4 linked regions of the Drosophila melanogaster genome follow. The protein of the gene in region 2 interacts with the protein of the main gene of each other region in a pairwise test. Each region holds a gene or a part of one and is shown on either strand. Other genes may lie near its edges.

Evidence for each region.
Region 1: the proteins of CG5089 (region 2) and CG15370 interact in a two-hybrid assay, tested with the Drosophila melanogaster proteins (one large-scale study listed by BioGRID).
Region 3: the proteins of CG5089 (region 2) and fs(2)ltoPP43 interact in a two-hybrid assay, tested with the Drosophila melanogaster proteins (one large-scale study listed by BioGRID).
Region 4: the proteins of CG5089 (region 2) and CG8907 interact in a two-hybrid assay, tested with the Drosophila melanogaster proteins (one large-scale study listed by BioGRID).

The regions. Positions count from the first base shown.
Region 1 is NC_004354.4:9,223,403-9,227,196, reverse strand, and holds CG15370 (uncharacterized protein), read right to left. Parts: upstream 1,761-3,794; 5' UTR 1,742-1,760; coding exon 629-1,741; 3' UTR 509-628; downstream 1-508.
Region 2 is NT_033778.4:16,596,762-16,600,958, forward strand, and holds CG5089 (uncharacterized protein), read left to right. Parts: upstream 1-1,986; 5' UTR 1,987-2,206; coding exon 2,207-3,517; 3' UTR 3,518-3,650; downstream 3,651-4,197. Other genes in the region: CG8303 (uncharacterized protein), read right to left, coding at 1-179, 1,143-1,436.
Region 3 is NT_033779.5:19,792,234-19,797,420, reverse strand, and holds fs(2)ltoPP43 (female sterile (2) ltoPP43), read left to right. Parts: upstream 1-1,569; 5' UTR 1,570-1,674; coding exon 1,675-1,881; intron 1,882-2,377; coding exon 2,378-2,838; coding exon of another isoform or gene 2,839-2,896; exon of another isoform or gene 2,897-3,112; coding exon of another isoform or gene 3,113-3,155; exon of another isoform or gene 3,156-3,935; intron 3,936-4,018; coding exon 4,019-4,197; intron 4,198-4,262; coding exon 4,263-4,519; 3' UTR 4,520-4,648; downstream 4,649-5,187. Other genes in the region: CG10466 (uncharacterized protein), read right to left, coding at 4,672-4,911, 4,970-5,187.
Region 4 is NT_033777.3:17,007,267-17,013,070, reverse strand, and holds CG8907 (uncharacterized protein), read right to left. Parts: upstream 4,242-5,804; 5' UTR 4,202-4,241; coding exon 4,143-4,201; intron 3,662-4,142; coding exon 3,268-3,661; intron 3,211-3,267; coding exon 3,166-3,210; intron 3,105-3,165; coding exon 2,214-3,104; intron 1,612-2,213; coding exon 1,239-1,611; intron 1,164-1,238; coding exon 823-1,163; intron 755-822; coding exon 659-754; 3' UTR 538-658; downstream 1-537.

The sequences.
Region 1 (3,794 bases), on a different chromosome or scaffold from region 2:
TAGCCTAACTGACTTCCTCAAAAACACTGAGAACAGTAGTCCATGTATGAATGTACCAAACACGATTTCCGTATTTGAAATAATAATAAATAATCAGAATGTAAATATATTATACGTTTTATAGATAGAATCAAGACTTAGGATAATTGCACTAAGTAGTATACTTAAATTCCCATTGCCAAGTGAACCGGTTGGTATCCAAAGTTGAAGTCAATAACAAAAATGAGTGCATTTTACTCTTGCACCATTAGAATATTAGATTTTAGTGTTTAAATAAACTAATTTGAGAATTCAAGATCATAATATGCATACTAATTAGACAGTCTCTTTTTTTTATTACTTCAACTATTCAAATTTGCGTTTTTATTACATTATAATTTTCAAGTGGTCTTGGTGCTTTCCAACTGCTAGGATTGAGTTGAAACAAATAAATAAATAAACAAATAAGTTAACCTTTTGTTTATTACTTCTAACAACTTGATTCCTAGAAATTGAATAACATTTCTTTAAGTGTTTACAAACATTTATTTATTTATCGCTTAAATCTGAAAACTGACTATCGACTTACGAAGCTAGGAAAAAAAAAGTGCAATAAATAGATCTTAGATTAGACGGGGTGTTGGAACGCCTACAGATAGGGCCCACCACTGTACTGGTGATAGCTACTGGATCCATAGCCCTGAACATGACCCACGTTGTAGCTATCGACGCCACTGTATGTTTCGGACGCGGCACTGTTGAATCCCTTGGACTCGGGCCAATCCACCAGGGATTGCGATGGCCGGCGACGCCTTGTGGCCGTAAGCGGTGGTCCATAGGTGTCCGCCGGTTCCTCCTCGCCGTACGGGTCACTGGATGGCACCTGGACGGATGGCCGGAAGTCAGTGCTACTTCCGGCCGAGGGTCGCGAGTAATCGTATCCGAAGGAGGATTCCTGCGGAGCTTCGAGAGTGTACGCTGGCGCTCTGGTTTGCTTGGAGCTCCGCTGGGCCTGACCGTGGCTGGGCGGGATGTAGGCGTGACTGTGTGGCGAATACTTATAGCCCGTATCCGGCTCCTGGTCGATGTGCTCCTCCACTGGTGCGGGTTCCGCATAGGCGCCAGTCTGATGATGATGATGATGATGATGATTTCCCCCGCTCGGATAGTGATATCCATAATCGTCGTCCACCTCCTCCTCCTCAACCGGATGGTGAGTATGAGTGTGATGATGGTGCTGCTGCTTGGGTCGCGATTCAATCACTCGATAAGTCTCCACACTGGGCTCATGGTGATCCTCGTAGTCGTAGCCATGTGGTCTGTGCTGCTCCTCAATGATCGTATAAGTGTTGACCTTCTTCTTGGGCGGCGGCGGCGGCGGAGGAGCTGCCTTTTTGGCATACGTCTCCGTGAGGTGGTCGGCCAGCTCCTTGGCGTGATTCAGATAGTCCGCATGCTCGCTCATGTGCAGCGGCTTGTCCAGATCCGAGAGGATTACGCTCTCCAGCAGTGGACTGGGCTTGGGACGGGCTCGTCCCCGATTGCGGTATAACTGATGCGGATGCGGATGGTGGTGGTAGTGGTGGATCACCTTGTGTGGCGACTCCTCCGCCGCTGACTCCTCTTTGGGCACATGCACCTTGATGTGGACATACTCGTTGCCGAAGCCCGCGACCAACGGTATTAACAGCACCAAGATCACAGGCACCAGCAGGTGGGAACGGCCGCTAATCCATGCCATGTCGTCGCGTCGAGTGGTCATCACCTTATGGTCGCCGCCTTGCCAAAATTGGTTTAAACCGAAGTCTTTCTTTTGTCAAAATTTATATACAACAGCCAATGCTGGCGACGACAAGCATCTTGACCTACGGAGCCCTCGGGTGAAATGGATGACACCTTGCCCTGCGCCGACCTTCAAATGCCCTTTGTGCGTGTATACCTTTCTTTTAGCAAATTAATAATGGATTTCTTTTTGCCATTATTACCTTATTCATTATGTTACTAATATTTTTATTCTCCGATTAATTTGTTAATCTTTAAAGAACTTGCATACAAGCTATCTGCATGAGTTCTTGTAAATTGATAAAATTAATATAAAGTTTCCATTCTGTTACGCAGCGTGGAATCTCCCACTCTGCATCATGCGTTTCTTTCTAAAAAAAATTAATAAATATCTTCGAATTTTTATCAGTTTCTGACGTCTCTGCACTGGACCCTAGTACTGATATCCTAAAGAAAAGAGTGATCATAATATTCCATATTTTTATATAATTATTAACAATAATGCCTTATATAATAAGGATATCATAATGTATGATATAAAAAGGATTATTAATTCGCGAATGTATGAGTAATACTTTGTAGTTCTAGGTTTTTCGATGGAGCGCTGCCAACGGTGTCATAAAACCGAGATGCTCCAAAACGCAGGTGAGTGTAGGGTGTTTGGGGGCAACTGTAAAATGTCATTTTCTTGCAATCACCGTTCGACGGAATCTCACTATCCCGCTCTATCCACACTAGCCCCCCTCCTCGCCCTTTCTCCATCGCACCGAAACTAGCGGTTGTTTTATTTGTTTTAACTTTTGTTTTCATTATTATTGAAATGCGATGCATACATTTTTCTAGCCGCCAGCCAGACGACAACAACGAACGAAAGTTAATACAAATTGAATAATGAAAGCGACCTGATCTGTTCGCAGCTATCGAAATTATCGGGGAAATTACCGTGTTCATTCATACCTAATCGATATTCTCACTTATATAATATCGGCGCATATCGCCAATACTAATTTTCAGTTTCGCGCTACGAAATTAATAAAAAACATTTAATTGTGATGCTAATAGGGGGAAAAAAAATAAACTGAGAAAGTTGCTCTGCGACATCATTATCACGATCATCATTTTCAGTATCATTATCATCGCGATTGTAGGCCACTTGGAAATCTCTCTTTCTCTCTCAGATGGCAAACAAAATACAACGAAAAACAATACAATTAATATGCAAGTGGCATCTGGATTGATTGCTTAAATATTTATTTATTCGCATTTAATTTGCGAAGTCTGAAAATTTAGAACTGAAAACCAAACCCAATCTATAATTCGCTAATGAATATTATGTATGTTCGCGGTTCTCACGCTTTTCATTTGGCGTGAAAATTAAGCAGAAAATCGGGGAATGCAAAATCCAACCCAGTTAAAAAGGCAATAAATGGAAAGAAAAGAAAACGGCGAAACAATCGAAAACGTGTTTATATGGTCGGCAAACAAAAGCGAAAATATTCATGGTCAGTTTGTTGGTCGAAAGAGGGGGTAGCATCGGGGTATGCCGGATATTTCCAGCACTCATATTACGTATACGCAAAGAAAAGGGGTAACACAATGAGGCAAAAAGCGTTCCATTAAGCCGCAAAGCCTATTAGACGACGGACTAATTGACTTACCAGCCGAAAGCATTCTAATATCTAGATTTTTTTGGGACGCAGTCAACAACTTCTAATAAGTAGGCTGAATAATCTATGGTTTTTGGAATCTGAAAGTTCTAAGCGGCCCTTAACCCCAGCCGGTTTTGGGCGATGATTTTTTATGTTACACTATAAAATGAAGTTAAAACAAAATTTACATTTGTTCCTAAACTTCCGAAATAACCGTTTGGGGTCAGTGAACTTGATTCTAAAATAATTTAGTATATATGTACAATATATATTCCCAGCTGATCTCTGGACTTGCTAAAAAGCAAAGTATGAAGTCATAGTTATAACTGCAAAATTGCATCAGCCCCTCTAATGAACTTAACCCAAACTACACAGCGTGTATCT
Region 2 (4,197 bases):
CGAATGGCGGTGCGCAGCGGGGAGCTGAACTTGATGGTGGCTGCACTGTGGTAGATCACATTGACCCGATCGATCAGCTCCTGCAGGAGCTCGGGGCCAAAGCCAAAGTTTGGTTCGCTCAGTTCGCCAACCACTGGGACCACCTTGGACAGAGTCTTCTCCGAGTATTTCTCGAAAATCTGTAATTAAATCATAATTTATATTTGCAATATTAAACAAACATTTTATTGAATATAATCTCATGCATCTTAAACTTTTGATAACTCTAACTAAAAGGATATGGTCATTAATTGGTAGCATTAAAAGCTTCGAGCTATAAGTGATTTTATGACTTGCAGAAGCGGCGAATAAGAGTTTTATATATTGTACATATGTATTCGATATTTTTAAACCAGTTGGAGACCTATTTTTTCTCCTCTAAAGACGGATGTTGAAAATTAATTTCACTACTGTTCGGAGGTTGGCTTGCTAACCATACACGCCCACATTATGGCCAACAAATTATGATTGTTAGCGATGAGTGCTTTTTTCGGTACTTTTACCTTTTTGGGCAACACTCGTAAGTAAGCAATTTTCAAAGCAAACAACATATGATGTTAGCTTCTTTTTGTTGTGCCATTAAAAATGCGTTTAAAAATAAAATAAATTAACGAGTTGTGAAGAGGGCCTAACAAAAGTTGGGGAAAAAACAAAAGACTTTTTGTTGGACCGAAAATTTAAGCACTCTCTAAATATAATTTATATGATTTCAAGGCATTATTTGTACAAACTTATTTTGATTGTAAAAAATGCTTTATGAAAAGATTGCTTGAGCTTAACAATTAAATAAGATAATAATTAGGTTATTTCAAAATTTGTAATTATAGTAAATAACAATTTAAATATTTTCAAAAATCCCAAAAGAGTATTGCACACTTGTGGTTAAAAAAAAAAATGAAAAGAAAAGAAAATGAAAGCCCCATGGAACGCGGCGGAAGAGGTCGGCCAGGTTACGACTTTGACAAATTAACGCTCCATAAAGAGACTCGTAATTGGCTTTAATTATATACCTTGCAGACGGCGCGTCGTGTCAGAGGGCGTGGCCGGTTGCCGCCCCCCTTCGACCGGTCAAAACAATCTAAAACAAATGCCACCAGACTTACCGGCTTTTGGAGCAGGCGACGAATCCGCTCGTTCGGATCAAACTTGCGCTTGCCCCGGACCAAAACGTAGATGGTTCCAATGTCGGGATGTGTGTCCAGCAGAGCCTCGATAAGAACGGTGCCCAGGAATCCAGTGCCGCCGGTGACAAAGATGTTCTTGTGGGCAAAGAACTCCGGTATGGTCAGCGAGGTGCTCAACTGATGGCCATTGACCCGGTGTTTTCCGTTTCCGATGCTATTGTTGTTTTCCGGGGGAGAGGAGGTGGTGCCGCCATGTTCCGTGATGACAGCCATGGTGTAGGGCTCAAGATTCGTCGGCGGCGCCAATTTGCTGCTGAGATTCGAAGACGGTGCGGCAAGCTGTGGCAAAGAAATAAGAAAAGGAAACGCGCCGTGACATCGGTTAGTTCAAGTTCATTAGTCCAACTGGATCGCTGCGATTATGAAACCAAAGCCGGCGATCGAAGAGCGAATCGAAAAAAAAAACCAGACAAACTTCTCAGTGTGTCAAGTTTAGCCAGCGGCGGAAGTGCATCATAAATCTGCTATCAAAATTCGATGGAAGTGGAGTGCGCGATGCGGAAGGCAGACAACCTCCAACGAAGATAAATGCTGCATATTTAAGCTTTCCACACTTTCCCATTTGGGTGTGAAACCTAATGGATAGTTACTTCAAAGGTTAACCGCTTATGTGGTCAGGAAACCTTTTAATGAATACATATTTTGTGCATTTTCAAAGATTGTTTCTAGTATTGGATTAACGTAATGTTAAACGCCAAGTAGGTCATGAGTACCACCTCTATTTTTTGAGTTCAACTGGGATAGCATTGCCTTTTACTTCCTGGGAAAAAATCATCAGCGTTCTCATAATATTCCCAGTTTGCGAAGCGTTCAGTTCACAAAATTTCGGTCTTTAATTTTTGGAGTTAAAAATTTGTAGCTAACAAAATTGAAAATTCAAAAATTCAGTTCGGAGTTTTATTTTCAGACAACACCCTCTCGTGCACGCATCAAAATTTTTAGTTCTGAAAAGGGAGTTCAATCCAAGACGAGTCAATAGCAAGATGAATACCACTTTTAAAATGGCTCGAACGAGCCTGAATCATTCTTGGCGGTTTGTTAGTAACAAAGCCAAGGGGCAATTTTCCAGTTTGCGACGATTACCAGCAGTTACCAGCCAAAATCGTCGCTACGCAGACCGATATACCTTCGACGACCAGACTCAAGCACAAATCCAGGGCATCAAGAAGATGAAAGAGATGTCCGCGGTGCCCCGGGAGTCTCCTTGGCGTGACAGCGAATGGTCTCCCGATTTTCCCGAGCGTTTGGATGAGTTGGGCTACGAGTCCCACTGCAACGATCGCCTCTATATAGCCAAGAACAAAATCCGTCACGAGCAACAAAAATATGAATTGGAACGTGAAGAGCGTCGCAAGCAGGCCCAACGAAGAATCAATAGTCACTTCGCTAAAGGTCAGGCAGAACCGGACTTATTGCGCCGGCGTACCATCTCACAGGATCCGGCCGATCACCAAAGGCGTCAGGAGGCGATTATCGAACAGAATCGCCGTCGATGGCAAAATCGTCCGGAATCTAGGAGGGAAACTAATACCTCCGGCATTACCTATCGTCCGGTTAAGCGAAAGGAAACGTATATTGAGGAGGATATGCAAAGGGAATCGGAGGACTACCAGCGCCAAAGACGCAATACAGAGAGCTCAGAGGAAGCTCAAGACAGCCAGACAGTGGTTTACGATTCCAATCGTCCCACTGCCGATTGGTTGAGGAAGCGCCAGGAGGAGAGCGAGGCGGAGCACTGGCATTCGTGGCACACATGCCCATGCTCCCGGGAGTCGGAGACCACAGAGGAGGTGAAGCCACATTTGAAGCGCAAGAAGGTGGTTGGCATTCCGCCTGCATATCCAAGGGATTACCAACGACGCGGCTACCATCAGATATCCCCACCTGTGTATGCACTGAAAGCCAAGACTATAGTGATGATACCAAAGCGGCGACCATCTGGCATCGATAAGCAGTACCACAAGTTTGCCATGAAACAGGTGGCTCTATGGCAACAGGACTTCGACGCGATCCAGGACAACGGGCAACCACTTCAGATGCCAGGGCTGGTGCCCAAGAAGGAGGAAGAGAAGAAGCCCAAGAGGAAGGAGGAGCGTCGATCCGTGGAACCGCCCCGTTTCCGAATGGTCGTCAAGAGCCGTGCTCCCGCTAGCCGTCCCTCTACTCCCGTATTCAATTACTCCGGCCAGATGGATATGCCGCCCGCCATCGCCGGACCCAGTGCCTACATGGGATCTCATCGCAAATCTAATGGCGAATCCTGGCGCAACTTCTTAAGGGCCAGCAGCTCATAAATGGAGCTCATTTTACTATAGCGTTGTGAATTGCCTTTTTATCCAGAGTTAATATTTGAAAATGAATACTTGCTGAGCTCCTGGCAGAGTTCTGGGATATTATAGTAAAATTTAATATAATTGACGTTGAACGAATTCTATTAACGAATCAGTGAATCATAGTTGGGGGTTGTAGTAAGAAAATTCCACTCGGGAATCTACAAAAAACCGACATATTTCAACAGTCAGCAAACCAATCGATGTAGTAAGTGTTATGGACAAAATGTAGCAAATGAGCAACGTGCTTTTTATAAGTCAAGTAATTAATTCCGACTAGTAATGGCAATTAAAGTTGACGCGTGTAACTGCTGCTTTTGACGTGATAAAGTAGGGGTTCCCATATTTATGGAATAGTTTAGATAACTTCTATTACTCGTAATAGAATGTACCTTTACTTATCCCAGCACTACATTCCAACACTAAACTGAAACGTTGACTAGCACTGGGAACAAAACCAACTACAAAATTCGAGAGCTAATTAACCCTTTCAACTTTCCCACACTTAAGGCCCATTAACCTTTTACTTTAATCACCAAGTGGATTAGAGTGGCTAAGCTTACGTTAATTAATACCCCCAAACTTTCAACTTGTCACACTGCCACAATCGGACCCATGGCCGTTGCCCAACACTGTTAACTGTA
Region 3 (5,187 bases), on a different chromosome or scaffold from region 2:
TTCACTCGTAAATATTTTTATAGGCACTAAGACTTCCGCATCGGATGAACAAAGCGCGAAGAGTCCACACGGCCAGGTGCTCTGCGGAATTAAATAAATATTTGCCACGAACGGGCAACCTTTCTAGCGTTATTTGGGAAATTGTGGAAAAATCACGAGCCACATAACTCCTGCAACGCTTTCGCCATGAAACATTTTATTAATTAAGTCCGTGTCCTTGATTTTTATTTGCCGTTTGGTATACCCACTTTGTGTCAACACAAACCTCTGTCATCATCAGGATGCTCTTTAAATGTCGCAAATTCTAACAATGCAAGTTGACCGTGTCCTTCAAAGGATTTCAATTGCAGACCAGATTTTCAAAGACTTAAGACAGCTAAATTGTAACTCAACTTCACCTCCTGTCAGCCAATTCCTTTTTACCAATCCCTTGTTAATAATTATGTTAGCTAACATCAACATTCTAAACTAAAAACCAAACCAATATGACCGATTGACTGCTTATTTTTCCGTTCCCAATTTGTTCACTACATTTCCAATTTGCCAAAATCAACAGGGTTAAATCCAATCCGGCGGTAGCAGCCACAAACAACCCACCTTTGCGAAGAAATTTCGACTCCTGCTGCTAATCCTTTCGTGCGTGCGCGTGTGAGTAAACCATTTAGCGCCAATTAAAACATAATTGCGGCATTCGCGGATTGCGATCGGGCACTAAATCATTCTCGGGCCTATACGAGTTTCATTTTGGCAGGACGAGAATAGCGGCACACACACACACATACACACACACACACGTCCATCGAGGCACCGCAACAAATGGCAAAAAGCGCGGGCGGAAAAGCGAAAACACTTGGGCGCCATTCACGGTTTAATGGCATCAATTCAATCCGAGGCTGAGCTCACTTTAATCTTGTGGCACTGCTGGCGTTGATTAAAAACACAAGGAAGCCGAAGTCGCCGCTTCTGGCCAACATTTCACTTTTATGAACGTAATTCCGACGGCTGATTTAGGCCGGAAGTCTGGAGCACGGAAACCACCCGCTATGTCAACCACACTTCGCCGGCTAAGAGCACTAACTGCCATTCCTGCGAGCTTCAACTTCTTTTGGGGACTTCATCCCCGGAGTGTCGGCTTTCGATCAGCTGATTGGGGGTAGAAGCACCGGAAGTGCCGGAAACGGGGATGAAAAGTATTCGAAATTGGCGGGCATTCAAAACTGTCGAACATAGTTACTTCCTGTATAAATACAAAATACTCAATAAATTCAAAATACTCAATAAATGCAAAATACTCAATGCAAAACAGTTACAGTTTACATTATATAGAAATATAGAAAAAAAAATGATTGATAGTGCCAACTACCTACTACTGCCACTGCCAAACCTGCCAATCTTTTCTTGTCGTATATTATTTTGAATGATTATCAACAGATTAAATCACAATTAATAATTCACAATTAAATCGTGAAATTTAGTTTACTGGCTCTACGATTTAAGGATTCGTCACGATAGTTTCGCAGTCTCAACCAATTCCATCTCTAAAATTTGTATTGATGAAATTCCAGAGTTGCAGATATATTTTGGCATGCCCCGAACGGTCACACTGCGCGTCGCACACTTTTAATTGTTTCGCTTCGCCTTTCGTTGTTTGTCGTATTCTCCGAATTAATCAAAATGCCAGCGGTTGTGCGAATCAAGCGACGCATCGACGAGGAGCCTCAGACGGCATTTGTGCTAAACGGCAAGCGGCGGCGCCTCCACAACGATGAGAACGCCCTGGAGGACGCGGGAGCGGTGGCGGGAGCGGTGGCGGGAGCGGTGGCATCAGACAAAGACGAACTGACCACCGTGCTCAAGTTTGCCGGCACGCTGGAAAAGCAGGTGGGATTGGGGGCTTAGAGAAGCAAACGTAGATATAATTCACATGCCCTTGGTGGCCACTACTTTCTATATATTGCTGTGGCTCGAATGCACGCTGTTGGTTCTTTTAGTGCTGCTTATAAAAAGGTCAACGTCCTCATCTTTGAGATGCAAAACGATATGGGCTAGCAAACTCTGCAAAAATGCACTCATTGAACTGATTTGTTTTTTCTTTAATGATTCTTACAAATAGCTAATCTAAGGTAACACATATATGTGTGCAATTTTAATAATACTTATCAGTTAGTAGTGATCTTTAACCTTAGTTAAAGGTGCTGGCCTGTTATCTGTAAAGTGAATGCACATTTATCATAGCAAATTCCCATTTTACAGCCGCAATAAATAGTGGGAACTTAATAAAAGATAGCTCTAGTTTGGTTATTGGTAATTTTGACTAATGATCCAAAGATCTAATGAATCTAAAATTGATTTATTAATTTGTATGCCTCTTTCGCAGGACGACTGTGCCACTCGTAAATTCGCCGCTGCCAGGCTCAACAAGGCCGCAGCCCGTGATCTGGTGCAACAGCAGCGCTCCAATGATGCAGCCATTGCTAGTGCGCTGCGCAGAGATCGCCAGCGGCAGGAGGCTCAGGAGAACTCAAGGGAGCAGCGTTTCCGGGTCGTAAACTGCCTGCGCAGCACGCTCGAAAACAGTGCCGCAGAAGCGGAATGCCCGGAGAGCCAGAGTCATGAGTCCAGCAGCCACATAACCATCGTGGACATTGAATCGCAACAGCAACAGCACATGGGCACTGCAAGTGCAGCAGCTGAGGAGCAGCAGCAGCAGGAGATAGCACCCAGCCAGGATCAGCAGCAGCCGGCCGATTCGGACGTGGGCTATGTCTACGATCTATATGTTCCCGAGAACGAGATGCAGGCGGCATATGTGGACATGATGGACGACAACTACTTAAGGTTTGTCATTCAAGTTGAGCCACAGAAAACGTTGAGCATTACCAATTACTATATGTAATCGATCACCACTACACTTATGTACTATATGGAATATATATATCTAAGCGGTGTGTCTGTGTGTCGGTGCTATGGGCGTATCTGTGTGGGTGTGGGTGTGCGTGTGTCTGTGTTCGTTGTCCTCGGGCGCAGTCTCATACTTGCATATTATCCTTATCATCTAGACACGATTGCAATCACTACAGCTCAATAATACGATTCGTTCGTTCTCCATAAGGTTGTATTATCCGTTTAATTACTACAACAACTGCTACTGGTAAACAAGAAATAAACTAAATGGAGAGAGACAGACAAAGTCGCAGGCACTTAGGAAGTGTGAGGACAGGAGACACCCAATGCCCCACCCACGACAATAAAAAAAAGGACTGCAACTGGCAACTCACATCACTTACAGTTCATTGCAGTCAGCACATTTGACAAATGCCCAAAACTAACGATAAAACATTGTTTTTATGAGTAAACACGGCATGATCTGAAAACGAATGATTCTGGAAGCTATTTATTTGATTTGTTACTGTGAGATTTCGTTCAATTCTAACACAACTATGTTATGCCATATTCCATTTAAAAAATATGTTAGATCTAAACTTCTTAGTTTAAATAATGTATCATAGTTATGTAAAGTTCCCATAAAGTTCCCTCTTGCCAAAGTTTTTAATAAAAATAAGATGTATCCTGCTAAAAACGCACAATTAGTGTACTATTTGGAATCGTTTTAGGCAAATGTCTCTCATTACCTTATGTTCATAGAATTAATTAGCTATTAGATTAGAATAATTTACCCCCACACACGAACACACACACACCGCATTTTTTTGAAAAACAGCTCACCGAGCATTTTTCGTTTAGTTTCCGCCAGTTGTCAGTTGCCTTTTTGGTTCTTTTTCCATTCCGACAATAAACAAAAAAAAACGGATAACACTAGTGCTGAAGTCTAATTAAGTGCATAGTCTTAGTTTGTTTTGCTTTATATCTGTTGGGGCCTAGCGTTGCCCGAAATCGAATATAAACTAAATAAAGAAACTCTCAAAATACGTGACAAACTTTGTTGTGTTTCAATTTAAAAATGCTGCGTGATCAAAGAATCGAAATAAACTCACTAATTGTTTCGCCTATTCTGCAGTGTGATTCCTGTGGGCGAGATTGTCCTAGAAGATTGCTACAACGACCAGGACGAGGACTACGACTCGGAGGACTCGAACCAGGAGAACTACTTTACCAATGATTACCCGGACGACGACGAAGCGGGCGCCATGGGTTCGGATGATGAGTTGTGCCGGCAAATGAACAAGTTTATGCTCGGTAAGATCTGTGTTAACTGTTTGCATAGATTCCGCTTATGAATATGCATATGCTTCTTCTTCCAGATGATGACGAGGATGAGTTTGCCAGCACCAGCGATGATGATGACTATGCCACCTTTCGCGATCCCTACGTGCACACGATCGACACTGAGGAAGACTCGTTTGTGGACGACGTGGACTTTTACAATGTCGACCGGGAGAGGGGCAGCGCCTATGAGCGCTACAAGCGAAGGATTCTGAAGGAACTGGAGGGTCAGGAAGAAGAGGATGAGGATGATGATGATGATGACGACTCCTTTGCGAGCGCTGATGGCGAATGAGAGGTTGGAAAGCCAATTCATTCTTGCACCTTAAATTACTGGCTTTAAAAAAGAATGTAGTAGTATAATTTAGCGTTTAATAACTAAAAAATTTAAGTTAATATAAAAATTCTGTTTGCATGCTTTGCTATGTTTAAGCTAACCTTATCTTATCATCTATAATTTTTGCTGTCTTTCTTCTCAGTCTTGATGTGCTGAAGTTGAGGTTTCGGCGCACAGCCCTCCATGTAAAGGCGAAGGGTTTCCTCGTCCATCTTCTCGTTTTCCTTGGGAGGCTTGTAGTCGGCCACGTGATCGACCCTTAGTGTCCTATCGAGGATCTTGATGCCATTCAGGTTGTCCACGGCCAGCACTGTGGATCTCTGGTCCTCGTAGCACAGGAAGCAGAAGCCCTGGACAAGTTTAAACAATGATTTCAGGAACTTTCTTGAAAGGGTAACTAAGCATTACCTTGGACTTTCCCGTTTTTGAATCTCGAATTAGATTGATGTTGACCACTTCGCCGTACTGCGAGAATACGCAAACCAAGTCGCCCTCAGTTAGGGTATACGGAAATCCTGCGACGAAAATCCAGGCTGAGTCCTTGTACATGTCGTGCCAGCTCTTCTTTCCGCCATGTTGCAGTTCGTGTTCGCTCAGTTTGAGCACATTTTTCATATTTGTTAGCG
Region 4 (5,804 bases), on a different chromosome or scaffold from region 2:
ATACTTATTTCCCCCGCAATGTGTTCACAAAAAAGGTAAATAACACGCCACGCCCCTACCGGTTTGAAACGCCCACTTACTTGACTTTTAGGATGCACTCACGAAGCAGAATTTATGAAGATTATCACTTATTACTCTTAATCGACGTCTATTACTTCTTCATAACATTGAACATCGTGTTTATTGAAAAAACCAATTCATTTCGGCTATTTCGTAAGTCTTTTGATTGAAGTCTGCAATTCGAACTGGAGTTCGACATATAAGGTATCTGGGTTAACCAATAAGCGTTTCATTAGGACTGTTCCATAACCAGTTCTCAAAGTTTCCTGTAATGATAAACATATTCTTGCCTAATTAATCATGCCATACCACTTTTGAGTTTAGGGAAGTTAAGTTTCTAAACAGGAAATCATATGATTTCTTCACTTCATAAATATTTGTGTTTAAATAAAGTATCTATATTACATTTATAATCAATTCGAGATGTTAACACTAAATGCATATAAATCAAACCCATTTTTGTCTTTTTTTTTTTTTAATATACGTATGAACACTGTTTAACATAAATGAAGGATTATTACACATAAATAAATTAATGGCATCTGAAGCATTTTTGTCTCTCTGGTCTCCGGCTAAAAAACTCGGGATACTGGGAGTCTTAGAAGACCTCGTTGGGATTGCCATTGGACTGATCGGCCTTTTGGCGAGCACGTGCCAGTTTGGCAGAAAGCTCCGATGATCGAATGGTTTTGTACTGCAAAATTGGATATTGGAATGGATTCGATTAGATTAGATAAGGTGAGGATATGTCCAAGAACTCACCTCGCAGAAATTCTTTTGCAGCACGATCTGGGAAATGAGGCGGCGACTCTCCCGCCGGCCAAAGTAACTTTCGATGGTGTGCGGTGATAGGGCGAAGATCTCCTCGCCGGATAGCGTGTGCAATCGTTTGATAATGATGTCCGAGAATCCCTTGCCCCGCAGCCACTCCTCCACCTCGCTTGGCTTTGAATTCTGGGTGATGAAGATTTCCGGCGTCTTAAGGATCTCGAGGTCCTTGCGCCTCTCTCGCTGCTGCTGCAGTAGACGCAGTTCATCATGCACGTCGCCCTGCATGTAGTAGAGCTGATCATCTGCCTCGCAATCATTGCGGGCCCGCATGGCTGGTAAGCGAATGAGATAAATACAAATATCATTATTATATTGTATTATTTTTTTTAATTTACTAGTGTACCCACCTGCTAGTGCTCCTGCCGCCGCCATGTTGCGTTTGAGTGTGCCACTGGGCGTGGGCGTTTGGCTATCGCTCGGTGGAGGCATCGGTGGTGGAACGGGCACGTTGGGCATCGAGAAGGTGCGCTGCATGGCCTTGCCATTGGCCGCCGGCTGCTCCACGGGAGCGGTATACATGGCCATTGTGTTGCGGTACAGCGGAGGAGGAATGGCCTCCTCGCCGCCGTTCTCCGTCAAAGCCATTGAGGCCAGCGACTCCGTGTCCCGGCCATTTACTCCGGGCTCAAAGTTGTACGGCGTGAGCACTGTGTGCGGCACGTAGCCAATGTTTCCGTACGAGTTACGGGCCTTCCACCAGTTGCGGGAGTCATCGATAATCTTGGAATCAGACGATTTATATGATAGTTATTATAAGGTCTGTTATCATGGTGATATGAAGGTAAGATCGCGTAATTGGGGAATCGATAAGATTGGTACCATGTATAGTAAACATGGTATAAAGTTAAAAATATAATCAATGTTTAGTAATTGCATTCAAAGTTTTTGTATTGATATAGTGTTACTGACCTCTCATTGGTAAGACATCTCAAATGCCTGAATTTAAAATTATTGAATCATATATATTACCGGCAATGAATTTTCATATCTTCACAACCAATACTTATCTAAAGCTTTTTTATATCAGTAACATTCCAAAACAAAAGATTAATATAAAAGTAAAAGACCTGTGCCTTATAAGATTTCAAATCATTCAGTTCTCACACGTGGACATTCCTATATATTTACAAAACTGTATTGTAACCCAAAATAATTGCCTCTTACATACATTCATACGTCAGCGAACGATTAAAAAAGCAAGTCGTTTTAAATGTTGTGCAAATCTTAATTAAAGGAACTTGAAATTGGGATAAATTTGGCTAAAAGATCTGAATGATAAGAACTGACATTAAAACCCCTTTCGATTATTATTAGGTACTTACCTCCAAATACTCTCCCTTTGTAACCTTTAGTTCCTTATCGTTGGTGGCCGACTTATTGAAGGTAACCTCGGCGATCTTGACATTTCGGCTCTCCAATCTACTCAGCCAGGTGCGATTTCCTAGACCTGGACTCGGGGGCATGGGAACCGGCACTGGCGAAGGCGTTGTGCTCTTTTTTAGAGCAGGAGCCAGGTACGGCACCTCCTCATCGACCACCCAATCGGGAGACCAATCGTCGTAGAAGATCGGATGATAAGAGCTCTTGTGATCCTTGAACTGATCCTTGGGAACCGTCCAGTTGGGACCGAGGCTCTGCCACAGCTGCATCTCGTTGGAGTCGAGGGTGCCATTGAGGAAGGCAATGGTCTCACGGCGCAGGAGGGGATTAAGTACCGCCTGCGGCAGACCCGCATCCACGTAGATATCGTTGCAAACCGTGACGATGGATTTAAGCGATATGAAGACATTGTGCACCGGATCGGCGGGCTTGGTGAATTGGTTCTGCAGCCGAACGGAGTATATAAGGGCCAGTTTCGCCTTGGCCAAAATGTCATGGAACTCGCTCTCGATTGGTGGTCGCGATCTCAGGACCAAAAGTCCCTCACCGTGGGGATTATGCTGTTCCTTGCGCAACTTTAGCTCGTTAAGCGCCTCGGCGGCATAATGAAGACGGGCCATGAACCGCTCGATGTCCTCGAAGCAGTGGTTTATCACCTGGACATCCCTCTCGGTCTGCTCCTTGTCTATGGCATTCTTCTCGGCTGCTATTCCGGCCACAGCAGCTGCTATTCCATACTGATCCTTGGCCTGCTGGTTCTGCGGCCTCTCCGGCTTGGGCAGCAGGATGGGCGTCTTGTTGCGATCCACTGTCACAGGGGTTCCCTTGCTTAGCTGAGAAATCGTGGTATTGGGATTATATAGATCGGGGATCTATTTATTCAACTCAACTCACCGTCTTTAGATCCTCAACCAAGAGCACGGAACTGACATCGGCCACCTATTAATGATCTAATTATTACAGATCTCAAAGTGCTGAAAAATCGTGGCTGCTCACCTGGAAGATGTGCATTTCGGTATTGCCCAGTGAGATTCCGGGCACTGAGAAAATGAGGATATTGTTGAATGACTCCTGCGGATGATCGCTTATAAAAGCCGTGGGCTCCGTGATCAGGCTCCCCGGAAAGTTCTCAATCTCCTTCATATCACTGTCCAGCATCACCAGCCACTGCCCATTGAAGCTCATGAACATCTTGTGCGGCCAAATGCCCCCGGTCTTTTCCAATTCGACCAGAAGCTTCATCTTCTCCTTCGGCTGCTTGACCTCAGCCTCGTTCTTCAGCTTAAAGGTGGCCAAGTGCTCCAGGGCATAGGTGGGCTTGACCTCGTCGTAGTGCCCATTTGCCTGATTCCCGCCAGGGACTCCATTTTCGTAGCCGTTTTGTGGCATCCTGAGAAATAGGGAAATGGGCATTCCAAATAACTATAGTTTTTTTTTTTTTTATCACTTATTGGTTGTTTCCATGTAAAGTTTGGCATTCAGGCGCACATATTGTAGAATATGAACTGCGCAATTCTTTGCCCTTCTTTTTGTTTTGTTGATAACACTACATTGCAACTAATGCATGACATAGAGGTAATTGACGATGAGTAATAGTTGCTCTTACACTTTTTAATACAAGGAAAATAGGTTAAACTTTAATAGTTCAATAGTAAAGAATTTTCTATCTTGTTCTGCATCTTTTACACTATAAATGCAGATCAAGGACGAAAAGATCTCTTTGTTTGAATGTTATGCTAACATAAACAGTAAAACACCGAAAATTTCCAAAGTGGCACTTTAAGTATACGGGTATATGATAGACAGGTGTTGGCAATGCTTCAATCTATGAGATAGCCTCCTGTCTATCACGCTTGATATTTGATATTTACCCATACTTGACCGAAATGGGTCGGAAGTATTTCAGGGTCCTATTGCCTGCTTTGACCATTGCGGCGGTGTGTAATCAAAGCGTTCTGGTAAACTATTGATTCCCAATGGGCAATGCGAATCAGATAGATGGCTACCATTAGATACCTTTGCATTTAGAAGTACATAGGTGTACATATGTACATAGGAGAGTACCTATTTCACCTGTGTGGTAGCTACCTGTCCGATTAGATAAACGCAATTGGCACTGTGTTTGCGATTGCTTTGCTTTTTCAGTTTGCTGGCGTTACTTTATTTCTGTTTTGCAGTTATCACAAGCCAGGAAATTCTTCGCTCATGAAGCAATCGTTAATGGCAGCTTATTACATAAGGACTCGAATATAAGAGTTAATCGCGTATTTTTAGGCCGTGATTGTGGGTCAATTATTTACCGCCGTGTTTCGAGATTTATTTATTGCTTTCACTGGCATGACATCAGATCCTAAGATACAGATGTCTGAGACATATCGTTGGTATGTTGATTTACGGGCTTAGAAGAACCGATGGATTGGTTACCTTGTGTGCTGCCCACTGTGCTCTTTATTTATTTATTTGCTCTTTTTTCTCGACCCGATCTACAACTCTCGACCCGCTGTGAATCGAATTCCAACTCCAACTAACTGACGTTGGCTGGCCCAAAGGGAATGGGAATCGGCGATATCAGCTGGCTCATTAATTGATTGCCTGAAATTGCGATGGTGCGTTATCGCAAAAGCAAAAGTGTGCCTTATCTCTTGGTGCTCATAGGCACTTTTTCAATCTTATCTGGAAGCAGAGCAACAAATACAAATACGAATACCATTCCTTATGAGAGAGTCTGCTACCCTTGGGCCTTGATTTTGATATCGGCCCACTGTGGGATCGTATGAAATGGTCAGCAGTTGACCCTGTTACCAACAACAAATCTTACTTTCAATTAAAGATAGTAATTACTAGGAATTTCTTTAAGTTCCATTAACACATTACTTAAATAGCTTATTATTGATTGGCGAAAAAGTGAAAGTGTTCTTGAATAAAACTTAAGTATAAGTTTTATATCGCAAAAATGCATCTCTATGGTTGTTTTAATCTTTACAGAAATCATTAAAAACGTCTTGATGACTATTTTTCAAAAAACGGAAATGAAAATTACTTATGTCATGACGTGCGCGCATAATTTCGATCAATTAAATCTACATACAACTTACTTTATATCTTATTCTACTCGTATTATCATATCATGTATTTTGTATGTTGCCTATGAATCATTCCTAACTTAAGAAAGTCCTTCATCATAAATAAAGAGCTTTAAAACAATCATGCTTAGGGTCTGGGGTAACTATTTTATTCGTTTATTGGCCAATAACTTTTATTGGAGCAAATTGTGACATTCTTGCCTTTTAATGACTACTACTTCACGTAATAACAGAAAAAAGCGACCCTCATTACAGTTGAAAATGGGAATTGTTGAAAATGGAAATACACGTACCGCACTGTCCGCAACACTTTCTGCAACAACTTTGAGTATAGTAATATTGCGTGACTTTAACGATCCGCTTCTGAATTGAGAGTTATCAAAAGTGTCAACCAGACACAATTGATCTGTAAATTCATGTCTATGTCATGTAATTCTACCTGTAATTCGA